Arabidopsis thaliana: one gene and its partner. The protein of the gene in region 1 interacts with the protein of each later gene in a pairwise test. Each region holds a gene or a part of one and is shown on either strand. Other genes may lie near its edges.

Region 1 (7,283 bases):
TGTTTTACTATGAATCTGAAAAGCAAATTTTGGGCTCTACTACTCAGTTCAAAGTGATATGACTTTATATTTTAGTTGGTACGAGTTTAAATCATTTATTTGATTGAGTCGTTTTATATTTAGATTTTTTTCGTAACTATGCAATTTTTTTTAAAAAACTTACATATATTATAAATTATAAGTTATTTTTTCTTTTAAAAGAAAATCCAAAAATATCAACAAAAACCCTGTAAAAGATTGGTCGGACTATAAAATATAGGTTCGGAATTTTAACGGGACGAACCAAACTAGATTCAAATAGTTGATTTTGCGGGTTTGGGGCGAGCCGGGCCTCACATGCCTAGGGTTATGGTTTTAATATGATGTAACACCGTTTATGGTTTTTGAATATAAATTCGTCGATTTGCACCAAAACTTTTTTAATCGGTTTGGTTCGATTTTTATCTATAGTGGGCTAAGTTCTTAAAAGCCCAGACTTGTGTTTTTTTTTTTCGTAACTATAGATCGATCACTTAAAACTAAATTAAACTGAACATGTTTATTATTTATTATACACGTAGTTCGAAACAGCACTTAGAGACTTTTCACCTTTCCACTACTGACCTGAAAAAGTTGAAACCCTAAAACTGGAGTGAAGACACAGTAGATACGATCGGAAAATTCCATGGAGATTTAAGCATCTCAATCTCGATCTCGCTCCGTTTGATCTGATTAGGTACATATTTCTGTCATTTTGATGTCTTTCACGTTGGAAGATTTATTCGATTCTTCATTTCAGTTCGATGTTTGCTAGGCAGATAACATGGAAGAAGACAGGGAGAGCCGCGTTAGTGCGAAGCCATCAGGTGATAGAGTAGATCGGCTGAGAAACTTACCAGATTGCTTGCTTTTTAAGATTCTCTTGAATCTTCCCACCAAGGATGTGGTTAAGTTAAGTGTACTATCACGCCGCTGGAGAAATGTCTGGAGATATGTACCTGGTTTGGACTTGGAATGTGGTGATTTCATGGTGAGGGAGTATTATGATTCATCGGAATTCAACGCTTTGTTGGGTTTCGTTTATAGGTTTCTAGGTTTTAATAGCGAGTCGTGTTTACAAAAGTTTAAGTTAACGGTTAATTGGTATGACGATGTTCAGCTTGAAACTGTTCATTTCACCGAGTGGTTTAACGCTGTTGTTAAGCGGAAAGTTCAACATCTCCATATCCTGGACAAAACTTGGGGGAGAGATGAAGTGGTGATACCCCCAACAGTTTTTACGTGTGGGAGCTTGATATCCTTAAATCTCTATGACGTATACTTGCCTAATCGCGAGTTTGTGTCTTTACCTTCCCTCAAAGTTATCGTTCTAGATGCAGTTGTGTTTGACGAAGATTTCGCTTTCGAAATGCTGGTCTCAGGCTGCCCAGTTCTCGAAAGCTTAAGTGTAAACAAGATTAACTTGAACGACATTTCAGAAAGTGTTCAAGTGTCTTCGCAGTCTCTATTGAGCTTCAGTTATGTTGCAGACGATGATGATTATCTAGAAGTTGTAATTGATGCTCCTAGGCTTCACTATCTAAAGCTCAATGATAAACGAACTGCAAGTTTTATAATGAAAAATCATGGCTCCCTTCTTAAGGCGGATATTGATTTTGTGTTTAACTTAGGTTCCGAATATATGTTCGATCCAAATTATCTACCAACGAGACATATAATTCGTGACTTTCTTGTCGGTTTATCTGGTGTTAAAGATATGATCATCTCTTCGAGTACTCTTCAGGTAACCATCATTGAATTTACTATTTGAATTCTTCACTTTATCCTATAAGTTTCATACTAATATCTTTTATTTTCTTCGAGCAGGTCATATATGATTACTCAAGATGTGAACAACTACCCTTATTCCGTAATGTATCTTTCTTGCGTGTTGAATTCGCCGACTACAGGTGGGAAATGTTGCCAATCTTTCTTGAGAGCTGCCCGAATCTAAAATCTCTTGTCTTGGTTAGGATCTTTACTTAATAATAAACTCTCTTCCTTACTATGAATGCAAATGGTAAAAGTAAGACATATTCAACTTGTTGTCTTTGCAGGGATTTAGTATACCTCCAGGGAAGGAGGGAGCTAATATTTTACCTGGACCCCGGCGGTTTCTAACATCTCTCGAGTATGTTAAGATTGCAAAGCCGATGGCAGCGGAGGCAAGCGAGATAAAACTGAAACTAGTGAGTTACTTTCTAGAGAACTCAACAATCCTCAAGAAACTCACACTATGCTTACGTAACTTCAGAGAGAAGGAAGAATCTGTCATCGTCAAGAAACTCCTTACCATTCCAAGACTCTCTCCTTCATGCCAAGTTTTCGTTCTCTGATCCTCAATATTCCTCATAGTAGTCTTTATTTCAGTGATGAACACAAAAGGTTTGTCTTTTGGGTACCAAGTTATCGTTAACTCTGTTTTTTTCTTCGTTTTATCTATCGTAAACTTTTAAGAGAATCATATGTTTGGTATTTTGTCAAATATGACTATTAATGCTTTCTCGTCAACAAAATCCTTATTGAATTATTTATTAACACTATATAAATAGATATATCCTAATTAATTATAAAAAATTTGAATGCATATTTACTTATTTTTTTCATTAGTTTGACAAACATTATCTATTTTATCGTGAAATCTTTATAAATTATCAAATAATAATGTCAAAATTAATAATTATTATAATGTTTTAAACTGGTTTAAAGGCTAAAAATTGGTTTTAAGATCTCACACAAATGACAAAAATGAAAAATTAGAAGTTTTACAATTGGATAGAATAACACGATTTAAAATAACAGAAAAATATAGATAACTCCACTCAAAAGATTTCACTCTATTAAACTTCACTAGCTCTATTTGTCTGATATCTTTCAATTGTGAGATATCCAAACAAAAGACAGTGGATAGAAATTAGTATCACAGTATTTATACTCAAACAAATTCGTAACAATATTTGTTGAATACTATGGTCTATAAGACTATAAGTAACACTCAAAAGAGTCATTTTTATGAAATTTATCATTTTTACTTGGCCATTTGCAGTTTTAGCTAAACAATTTAGGTATTTTTTGGGTTTAATTTGCAGTTTTAGATATTATTAGTATAAAAAATGAAAAGAAAGTTATTCATTTATTTACGGCAAAGGATCTCTCTCTTTCCCAGCATCACCATCTCTTGTACCAGTTTCTGATTAGATTCAACAATGAACGGCGCATTAGGTAACTCCTCCGCCTCCGTTAGCGGCGGAGAAGGAGCCGGAGGACCAGCGCCTTTCTTGGTGAAAACCTACGAGATGGTCGACGATTCATCAACGGACCAGATCGTATCGTGGAGCGCTAACAACAACAGCTTCATCGTTTGGAATCATGCCGAATTTTCACGCCTCCTTCTTCCAACCTACTTCAAACACAATAACTTCTCTTCCTTCATTCGTCAGCTCAATACCTATGTGAGTCAGATTCTATCCAAACTCTTCTATATTCCAAGTTTTGAATTGACCTAATTTTGATCAAGTTTCCAATGTAAAAGGGGTTTTGGAAATGTTAGAACGCATCTAGGTCTCTGTGTGATTTATAGACTGAATTATGGAAATGAGTTTATGGATTGTGGATTGATTGATTCAACGAGAAGATGAAATGTAGCTAAAAATTGTAGTCTCTGTGTGATTATGGACTGAATTGTGGAAATGGGTGAACTTAGAGACTGTGTTGTTTTTCCTCGTTCTCTGCTTTAGGTTTCTATTAACGGTGTGAATGTTGTTGGGATTATGGTTATAGGGGTTTAGGAAGATTGATCCAGAGAGGTGGGAGTTTTTGAATGATGATTTTATTAAGGATCAGAAGCATCTTCTCAAGAATATACATAGAAGGAAACCTATACACAGCCACAGTCATCCACCTGCTTCGTCGACTGATCAAGAAAGAGCAGTGTTGCAAGAGCAAATGGACAAGCTTTCACGTGAGAAAGCTGCAATTGAAGCTAAGCTTTTAAAGTTCAAACAACAGAAGGTTGTAGCAAAGCATCAGTTTGAAGAAATGACTGAGCATGTTGATGATATGGAGAATAGGCAGAAGAAGCTGCTGAATTTTTTGGAAACTGCGATTCGGAATCCTACTTTTGTTAAGAATTTTGGTAAGAAAGTCGAGCAGTTGGATATTTCAGCTTACAACAAAAAGCGAAGGCTCCCTGAAGTTGAGCAATCAAAGCCACCTTCAGAAGATTCTCATCTGGATAATAGTAGTGGTAGCTCGAGACGCGAGTCTGGAAACATTTTTCATCAAAATTTCTCTAATAAATTGCGACTAGAGCTTTCTCCAGCTGATTCAGATATGAACATGGTTTCACACAGTATACAAAGTTCCAATGAAGAAGGTGCGAGTCCCAAAGGGATACTGTCAGGAGGTGATCCAAATACTACACTAACAAAAAGAGAAGGCCTACCATTTGCACCTGAAGCTCTAGAGCTTGCGGATACCGGGACATGCCCGAGGAGATTACTGTTAAATGATAATACAAGGGTGGAGACCTTGCAGCAGAGGCTAACTTCTTCAGAGGAGACTGATGGTAGCTTTTCATGTCATTTAAATCTAACCCTGGCTTCTGCTCCGTTACCGGACAAAACAGCTTCACAGATAGCTAAGACGACTCTTAAAAGTCAGGAGTTAAACTTTAACTCAATAGAAACAAGTGCAAGTGAGAAAAATCGGGGTAGACAAGAGATTGCAGTTGGAGGTAGCCAAGCAAATGCAGCTCCTCCAGCAAGAGTGAATGATGTATTCTGGGAACAGTTCCTAACAGAAAGGCCAGGGTCTTCAGATAATGAGGAGGCAAGTTCGACTTATAGAGGTAACCCATACGAAGAGCAAGAGGAGAAAAGAAACGGGAGTATGATGTTACGTAATACAAAGAATATCGAGCAGCTGACCTTATAAACTATTTGGACGGTAATACATCCTTAAACCTACTCATTAATTATGATTCCTTTACTATTTTGTGATTCACATGTTAGCTTTCTCGATATGTGCATGATGTTTGGCAACAATTTGGTTGTTTAGCTAGACATTGTCGACAAATTCTTGTTAAATGAACCTGCATATGCAGTATCTGTTAAACGTTTATTTTCTGCTTGAAAATCATTCTGCACTTATTAGTGAACCCTAGCAAGTTGTCCTCATTTACCCGATTTATGCCAATTTCTAACGCAGAAAAATTACGCATTTGTATTTTCAGGTTACATCAACGAGAGTACGAACTGTGGTTTTGGTAAGAAGTATGGGTGAGTAAGTAATGAAACATTGGACTGAAAAAGCGTAAGTAGCTTTGTTGTAAACACTTGCGTCTCTGTCTACACAAGTAATTTGACTGTAAATGTAAGTGTACAGGATTTAAATTGAATAAGCATTTTTTTCGTGTCGTAAATGTCAAAACAATATGTAGCCTTCCCCCAAATCTTAGTACCGACGATATTGGTAACATCCGCTGAAATGTGTTACTATTTATTTTATTGTAGTCTTACTCTTTTTATTAATCAATATATTTTGATGAAAATCTTCCGGATAGCATATTTAGCTTTCGAAACTATTCTCGACCCTTACTCGTATTCTTCCGTTATAAATGTATTAAGTAATGGTTTATATTTAGGAAAAATGTCATATTTAGCTTTTGATGTTTAGATCACTTGTTAATGTACAAGATCAAAGACATAAAAATTCTATTATTATTTTGGAGACAGTTTTTATTTTATTACAAAATTCAAAAATATGTTTTGAAATAAACAGTTTTCTCTATAGTTTTATTTCTATGTTGTAATTCAATCAAAACAACCATCTCAGATATATAATCTCCACTTTGTTCATTTTGATATAGTTTTTTTTTCAAGTAGATGTGCTAAATCTCCAAAAACAAATATATTTTGTTATCTGTTGCGTTCTTCATGATTATGTGGAAAGTGGTTTATCAAATGTTAGATTATGTATGTGGCTTTGTTCTTTCTTGTTATGTTATGTATGTGTCCTTCATAATTATGTGGAAATTGTTTTTTGTTGTTGATGATTTGGTGACTGGTTGAATTTGACCATTTTGTCATTTTGTGAACTATGCTTAACGGCCAACGCAATGGGGATATTGAGGTGGTTTTCTCTAAGCGGCTATCAAAGACATTCAGACAGAAAGAATTGGAGTATATTTGGATGCCACTAACGAGGCTATATGGTTCGAAAAGAGTAATCGTCTCCTTTGATAGGATACAAAGTGTTTGGTCATACTTTTTTTCCGTTCACTTGTATATCTATCTAAAAACCCGATTGCATTACAAAATTTCTTTGGGCGGTACATGGGACTATTTGTCAGCTTAGATAACCCAAAGGAAGATATCGAATTATTAATCTAAAGAATATCCGAAAATTCGAAATAAATTTACATATCCAAAATATTAGCTATATTTAGTTACAAAATTTATACCACAAACTACAAAATAACAAAAATATCTTAAATAACCTAGGCTTCCAAAATTTTGTAGTTATATTTGATAAATTTATACATTTTTTTTTTTTTGCAAAATATAACCAAATTTTAGTATAATCAAAATGTTTATTATTTTTTTGTTTTTTTCTTCCAAACACCAATCCAAATTCGACAGCTATTTGAATTGAATAGTCATAAAATCTGAATATATAATAAACTCTTCTATCCAAATTATCCAAATCCAAAAATATTCAAACTAAATCCTATTCAAAATCTGAATGCCTAGGCATAGTTATATACTTATATACAGTAAACGGATTTATTTCGGCGGGTATGGTTCAGACAGAGACTTCACACCCGTGGGCCGACGTGGAATTACTCGACCAAGGCTTCACTAAAAATGAATATGTGCTACTAAAACGCACCGTTTCTTAGTTTAATTCAAACGGCGTCTTATTGCTTCTCACTCTCCCAATCTCGATTCTCAGACTCAAGACACTCTGGAAGAACCCTAAAGCATTTTCCTCAATCGTTATTGGGGTTTTACGAATTCGACATCTGTTTCTGACTCCGCCGGGTAAGTGATTATTTCTCTCCGTTGAACCTACCTTGAAACTGAAAAATTCTCTTTTGATTACTCCGTTCTTTCACTCGATATCAGAAGTTTTTTTCCTGTTTCATTTTTTCTGTGTTTATGACGAAGTCCTTTCTCTCCTTTGATTTGTCTATCGAGGTCATGGTCTTGTTTTTTTCTCTGAAACCCATTTGGGAGTTTTCAGATTTTTAGTTGAATCGAGAA
Region 2 (7,575 bases), on another chromosome or scaffold:
GAAGGTTGTTGTTGACTCTCATCATCAAGCTTCCTCCTCACTCCTTTAACCGCCTGTTCCTCAACCAAAGAAAGCGGGAAAATCCGACCACTAGCTCGACACAAAGAGTTATGATTATCATACAAAATCCTTTGGTTGCAGTTCTTGTCACAAACATGAGTCAACCCAGTTAGTTTGCAACGGTACATATTCCCACACACATTCTCATTCTCGCATTTCCAATCACATTTGTGATTGGGTCCTTCGTGACCCAATATAGCAGATAAGTAAATAACATTAGCAGAGCCAACAACCACATGAGATTTTCCAAATACCTCCATTGTTTCAAAGTTACTCAAAGCTTCAAACTTTCTTCACTCACTGCATAACCCAAGAAAACCCGAATTAAAAAAACGAAATTGATCCACTATTAGAGATAATTTTTCCTAATCAGGCATAAATTTCAATCAAACAGATTTAATCGCAGCTGATAAATCGCATTATGAGATCCAACAAGAAGAAGTAATAAAATTCACAGAGATTAAATAAAACAGACCTGATCAGAAGCAGCAAATTCTCAACACTAATTTTGACTCGGCACTGAATAATATTTGTTGGAGAAAGAAAGTTTGTGAAGAAGAAGAAGATGAATTGGTCATTTTTAACTATTTATAGAAATCAATCTAACTCCGTTACTTGAAAAATAAACGGTATATTTATTTATTTTTATTGTCAATTTTAAAAATGATTACAGATTTCTTGAGCTAATTTATTGATTTTCTACAATTTCTTTTGTCTTTTCTTGGCGGTTAATGGGGAAATTCACGTGTCTATTAATTTATGGTTAGAGATACTACTAAAATATCTACTCGTATATTTGCATATTAAATGGCCTATTTAATAGGCGTGGGCAGGAAATGGTATTTGATAATGTAATTAATTAGTTATTTGGATATTTATTTATAGAGTAAGACGGCAGAAAAAAGTCCGTGAAGTAACGGTAAGAGGAACTGAATCAAACCATTCTCACATTTCTCAAGACTCTAACCATTGAAATTGAATTTTTTTCTCTTTTGGCCAAACAAGAACTAAGAAGAAGAAAAAACGACTATAAATAGATGGCACAAGTCATTCATCACAAAAGAGTAGCTAGACCTAGAGAAAGCTAGCTAAACAAGGATAAAACAAAATACGTAAACACCTTGTTTTGTATTATACCAATAGAAAGAGTTAAATCAGAATTTGGAGGAAGGTGTACGGAATCCATCCACCGTGAGACCACAAATTGAGGTAACATGATGATAGAAGTTTTGTTGTAGCGACGAGAACAATGTTCCGTATACTTCATATACTGCTTAAAACCAGAAGTGTTTATGCGACAACAACCTTCATCACTAGTCCAATCCTCCGAATCCTGATGAATGATGAACTGTCAACTCTTGTGTCCGCAAGTTACCAGATACAAAACAAGAGTGTTTTTGACTCCATAGATAGATAATATCAGAATCAAAGGGATTCATTGCCACTTGAAAACATTCGAATATACTCCAACAGATGCAATGTTGATTTCCGGTGTCAACAACTGCCAACATTCATCCTCTAAGTGTTAATATTCAGTCTCCAAATCCTCAATATTCGATGTAGTATTTCAATGCAGATCCCATCTCCTCGTGAAGTAGTCAAACATCTCTTAACATTCTAACATTAAATTGAAATCATTTAGTAATATTTGATATTTTTTCTTCTTTTCTTTGACACTGCCAATTACGATTTATGAGCAGGACTTAAGATTGCATATACAATCAAATGAAAGATGGAGTCACATCACAAGAATAAAAAGATCAATGATCAAATGAAAGATTTTAGTTTTCAGGGGATTTTGCATCTTTCAATGTTTTCGATTGTATCTTCCGGAGAAAAAAGAATCAGAGATCGTAATTCACACACGAACACGTTCGACTTAAGAAATGTTGATTACAAATTTTCACGATGCAAAACTGATTTATATTTAATTGAATCAAAGAAGAATCATTTTGAGATACAAAGAACAACAAAAGCCAAACCAATCTGGTAGTAGCAAATCAAACCAAGGTGACATACAACAACATTCAAAATACTTTCACAAATTTAATTAATCATCAAACGGTGACAACAGCTTCTTTCTCTTCTTGTTTACTCTCCTCCTTTACTGGTTCAGCCTCAGCTTTTACTGGTTCAGCCTCAGCCTTTACTGGTTCAGCTTCAGCCTTTTTCTCCGCTTCCACTGCAACCTCAACCTTTTCGGGTGCAGCTACGGCAACCGCCTCCACCTTTGCTTCAGCGTTTTCTGTTGCAGCGTTCTCCACTTTCTCAGGTGCAACTACTGCAGCCTCACCAGCATCAGCAGAAGAAGACTCTTCGACGGCTGCAACCTCTGGTTGAACAGCAGGAGTTGTTTCCTTGGTCGGCTCGACCGGAAATGTCTCCTTAGCTTCGACAGAAGTTGTTTCAGTGGTCTCAGCCACTGTCTGGTTCTGTTTCTCACCGCTTTCTGTGTTGTTCTCCTGTATTAATTAATCATACCAAAAGATCATAACCGGTTAAGCCCGGTTCGGTAACAAAACCTAATTAAATTTTCATATTTAAAACCTAGAGATTAATTGTTACCTTGGCTACTACGTTTTCAGAGACAGGCTTGTTAGGAACAGAGCCTTCTTCGTTTTGCATGTCTGATTCCTTGGGTCTACTCGCACAGCCACCCATTATTATATATTTTTTTGGTTTTTGTGATTTTGGGTTGGGTTTAGGCTGTGGAGTGTGCAAAAAAAATTTACACAAACTTTTTTATTTTTCTCTTCTTTTTTATTAATGTTGACCCGAGGATTGAGCAAATGAAGAGAACATAATCATGGTTATATAGATGAAGATGATTCCGATTTTTATGGAGAGCCTTTGGTATTTTTTCTTGTGTGTGTTGAAGTATTCAAATTGGGGATGGCTAAGAATAGAGTTTAGCAGAGAGGTAAGAGTAAATTTAGATAGATGTTTCTCTGTATTTGAAAAGCTTCATTGATATCGTCAAACTTTTGGAAGTTTTGTGGACCTCTCTCGTCTCTTGTTGCTAGCTCTATTTTTAGCCGGTCCTAGCTCCAGAATTTTAATTCGATTTTTTGAATTTTGTAACTTGCAAAGATAAGAGGATTACGCCGTGTAAACGATGATGAATATCCTAATGATTATGCAGCTTTTTACTAATACATAATTTCATGAAAGAAGTTTTGATTAGGTTTCCAAAAGTCAAAGAAAGCGAAAAAATCTAAATAAATTAAAAAAGACAAGTTTCCAAAAGTCAAGAAAAGCGTAACACCATCCCAAAAACAAAGTGACATGCACCGAAACTTCCATTCCTTTCCACGTGTCATTACATCATTCGTTCTATGACATTTCTCATCACCTTCTTTTACAACAGTCATTCACTTCTCGCTTTTACCCCTGCATCTAGTTAATATCCCAAAGTCGCTCAAGGGCAAAACCATACTTTAACAATTTCCAAACCGCGTAACGTACTTGGTTTGCCGCGTGTACACACCACGCGCTGCCATCACCATATAGAACTCACAAAAGGAAAGAAAAAACCAAATCAAAGCTCACATCTGCCTTCTTCTTCACTTTACCAAAATCATCGAATCCATTTTTAGGGTTTTTGTTTTCTCTCTAAATTTTTATTGTTATCTTCTTCGCGATACCTTGGAATCGCATCTCTGAGATAGATAAATAATTCTGATTCGTATCTTTAAATCTTGGGTTCTTCTTCTTCTCGCGATTCGTTTAAAAGAGCAGCATCAATGAATCAGAATCTTCATGTATTATCAATGGATTCGTTACCAGTTGGATTAAGATTCCGTCCAACAGACGAGGAGCTAATCCGTTACTATCTCCGTAGGAAAATCAACGGTCACGATGACGACGTCAAAGCTATCCGTGAGATCGATATTTGCAAATGGGAACCTTGGGATTTACCTGGTACTTACTTACTTACTTCTTCATCTCTTTATTCATAAATTTACACTTTTTCTATAGATCCTCTTTGATTTCTCTGGCATTATGTTGAATTGAGAAATGGTAGAACTTAAAATTTGTAGCTTTAGTTTCTATGGTGAAGAAAGTTAATAACTTTAAACCGATCATATGTGTTTGATATAGTTTAGTTTTGGGTATGTGGTTATATCTCTGTTAAGGTGTAGTGTAAGTGACTGAAATTTGATTAAAAGATGTGATTTTTTTTTGTTGTAGATTTTTCTGTGATCAAAACTAAAGACTCAGAGTGGCTCTACTTCTGTCCATTGGATCGGAAGTATCCGAGTGGAAGTAGACAGAACCGGGCAACAGTTGCAGGGTACTGGAAAGCCACAGGAAAAGACCGGAAGATAAAATCCGGTAAGACTAACATTATTGGTGTGAAGAGAACTCTAGTTTTCCACGCGGGTAGAGCTCCTAGGGGGACACGAACCAATTGGATTATTCATGAGTATCGTGCCACGGAGGATGATCTTAGTGGTACCAATCCTGGCCAGGTAAATAATGCATACTTTTAGATGTGTAACCATTGGAAAACTAAATTTGGCTCTGTAGCTTATTGTGTGCTTGTGTTGATATATATATATGCAGAGTCCGTTTGTTATATGCAAATTGTTCAAGAAAGAAGAACTGGTTTTAGGGGAAGAAGATTCGAAGTCAGATGAAGTTGAAGAACCTGCTGTCTCGTCTCCAACTGTCGAAGTGACTAAGTCAGAAGTATCTGAGGTAATTAAAACAGAAGACGTGAAGCGTCATGACATAGCAGAATCTTCTCTTGTAATCTCTGGAGATTCTCATAGTGATGCTTGTGATGAGGCTACAACCGCAGAGGTGAGGACATTGAAAAATTCTCTTAGACAGTTTTTAGATGATTGTCTCTAGTGTCTGTTTGAATACTAATGATGTTTATTTTCGGCATGCAGCTTGTAGATTTTAAATGGTATCCGGAATTGGAGTCCTTAGATTTCACGCTGTTCTCTCCATTACACTCTCAAGTCCAATCTGAGCTTGGATCCTCTTACAACACATTCCAGCCTGGCTCGAGTAATTTTTCAGGGAACAACAACAACAGCTTCCAAATCCAGACTCAGTATGGTACAAATGAAGTAGATACGTATATATCTGATTTTCTTGATTCGATTCTCAAGAGCCCAGACGAGGATCCAGAGAAGCACAAGTATGTTTTGCAAAGTGGTTTTGATGTTGTAGCACCAGATCAGGTACATGAAGATTCCTCAAAACTCATTATATCATTTGTATGTACTTCTAGAAAACAGAAATCGTATTAACTCTTAACTACTTTACTTGATTGCAGATTGCGCAAGTGTGTCAACAGGGCTCAGCAGTTGACATGAGCAATGATGTTTCAGTGACGGGTATCCAGATTAAGAGTCGCCAGGCACAACCCTCAGGTTATACCAATGACTATATAGCGCAGGGAAATGGTCCAAGAAGGCTGCGTCTGCAAAGTAACTTTAATGGCATTAACACGAAGAATCCTGAGCTTCAAGCTATAAAGAGAGAGGTGAGAATAACACCCACCTTCTGATGAATTACTCATCCTTGGTTTCTTTTAGCGTGTATGTGGTTTCACGTCGCAGAGTGGAATCGATCCATGACATTAAAATGTTAATGCTATGCAGGCTGAGGACACGGTTGGAGAAAGTATAAAGAAAAGGTGTGGAAAGCTAATGAGATCAAAGAACGTGACCGGTTTTGTGTTTAAAAAGATTACGTCGGTGAAATGTTCATATGGAGGACTCTTTAGGGCGGCAGTAGTTGCAGTTGTGTTCTTGATGTCAGTCTGCAGTCTAACCGTCGACTTCAGAGCATCTGCAGTGTCCTGAAAACTGAAACTTTTTGTAAATATAGTGCTTGAACCGGCCCGTGTTTTTGCTTCTGTTATTGGTTTCAGGCTTTCGCCAGTTTATAAGATATATTTGTTTGTAGTTTTTACATGTAGTTAGGCTGCTTATGTAAACGTTATGATGACAGAGAGGTCAAGACTCTATTTACTTCTTTGACTTATTAGAGTTCTTCTCACATGAGTTCATTCTGGACAAAACTCGGAAGAGAGAAGTCAAGCGATCGAACCGGAGAGATCACAATAAAACTCATCAAAGGGCAAAAGTAAGTTCAACAAAATCATTTATCACAAAACCAAAATAATGCAAGCAAACTATATGACCAAAGCGGCTATCAACAAGAGAAAGGAGAGCGAGGCAACCATACCATAATCCTGGATTACCCGTAGAAGTGAACATAAACTAACATACACACTTTCTAAAATTGCCTAAACCTAAGATTTGTACCACCCAACACCACAAACAAGATAGCAAATGCAGCAATCTCATGGACGGAGGAATACAAAGGTCAGACGTTACCGGAGAGGAGGCTAAAACGGAAATAAATAGTATTAGTACCTAAGCATTTATTTAATAATACAACTTATGAATTTGGGTTTACAACGCTAGACGCAAGAAAAAAAGTGGAGCTTGTGGTGGAGTCGCAGAGGAGTATACATTCACTGTGTGGTATTCGTGTCAATAATTCACAAAATTGGAAGGGCTATAAATGTTTTTTGGCAATTTTTTAAATTACCATTAGAATGAGTTTTAGTTCCAAAAATATCATCATTAGTTTCTTTTACTCAAAAATACCACTGAAATGTCTTTTTAGTGTTTGTCTTTTGATTTTGTTTTGTCTTTAGTGTTTGTCTTTTGATTCTGAACGTTTTATAAAAGTGTATACAGTATATATTAACAGTGACTTGTGAAAGATTCAGAATTCTCTCTTGCTTCCTTTTGTCTAGGATGAGGCAAAGACTAAAACCAACCCTAGAGGAAAAGTTTTGTCTAGGATCCTCCTCGTGGCGATTTGTTCTATGCATCACACTTGCAACTAATTAGCTTGTGAACAATGAGCTAAAAAATGAGAGGAGAAAAAAGAGAGACGGAGATGCAGAGGAAAAGTTTGTCAAAGGAAACTGGATCGATGAGTCATGGCTCGTGCTCCTTCAAACCAGAACAGCCAAGTGTAGAGAGGAGTCAAATTGATGAAGATCACCAAGTTGTATCAGAAAATTCTGACCGTTTGTCATGTGTTGGAGCTAGTTGTGTATCACCCTTTGGTTTGAGAGGACAGGGAAATGAAACCCTAGTCAAAAGCGGTTCCGTTTAGACCGAAAGAAAAAGGAGTCAGAAATGACTTTGAAGCAGAAGATGGAGGCAGCAATAGCTGAGAAGAAGAGACAGAGGGAAGAAGAAGAGGGAAAGTTGAAGGATGACAAAAGACAGCGTGTTGCCAAAAGTCCGAGACAACAAAGAAAGGATGATAAAAAAAGCTTGTAGCTTTTATAGATCGAATACTACAATCACCGAAAAACACTGTTCTTGGACAGGTGAAATGAGATCAAAAAGTGATGATCGGAGAGCTTCTAGAGAAGCTTCTAAGGTATGCAATTTTCATATCTCAGTGACTTGTTATACAAGGTATTCAATTTTCATAATCATATACTCTGTTTGTTTGCTCTGGTCAAGA

What was found.
Region 2: the proteins of AT-HSFA5 (region 1) and NAC062 interact in a two-hybrid assay, tested with the Arabidopsis thaliana proteins (one large-scale study listed by BioGRID).

What each region holds. Positions count from the first base shown.
Region 1 is NC_003075.7:8,075,189-8,082,471, reverse strand, and holds AT-HSFA5 (winged-helix DNA-binding transcription factor family protein), read left to right. Parts: upstream 1-3,063; 5' UTR 3,064-3,224; coding exon 3,225-3,470; intron 3,471-3,798; coding exon 3,799-4,953; 3' UTR 4,954-4,965; intron 4,966-5,251; 3' UTR 5,252-5,569; downstream 5,570-7,283. Other genes in the region: FBD1 (FBD-associated F-box protein), read left to right, coding at 803-1,762, 1,846-1,986, 2,076-2,354. UniProt on the Arabidopsis thaliana protein: Transcriptional activator that specifically binds DNA sequence 5'-AGAAnnTTCT-3' known as heat shock promoter elements (HSE).
Region 2 is NC_003074.8:18,360,946-18,368,520, reverse strand, and holds NAC062 (NAC domain containing protein 62), read left to right. Parts: upstream 1-3,561; 5' UTR 3,562-3,803; coding exon 3,804-3,981; intron 3,982-4,251; coding exon 4,252-4,532; intron 4,533-4,626; coding exon 4,627-4,866; intron 4,867-4,958; coding exon 4,959-5,255; intron 5,256-5,350; coding exon 5,351-5,560; coding exon of another isoform or gene 5,561-5,584; exon of another isoform or gene 5,585-5,678; coding exon 5,679-5,882; 3' UTR 5,883-6,078; downstream 6,079-7,575. Other genes in the region: AT3G49550 (uncharacterized protein), read right to left, coding at 1-320; AT3G49540 (uncharacterized protein), read right to left, coding at 2,118-2,522, 2,626-2,721. UniProt on the Arabidopsis thaliana protein: Transcriptional activator activated by proteolytic cleavage through regulated intramembrane proteolysis (RIP). Transcriptional activator involved in response to cold stress.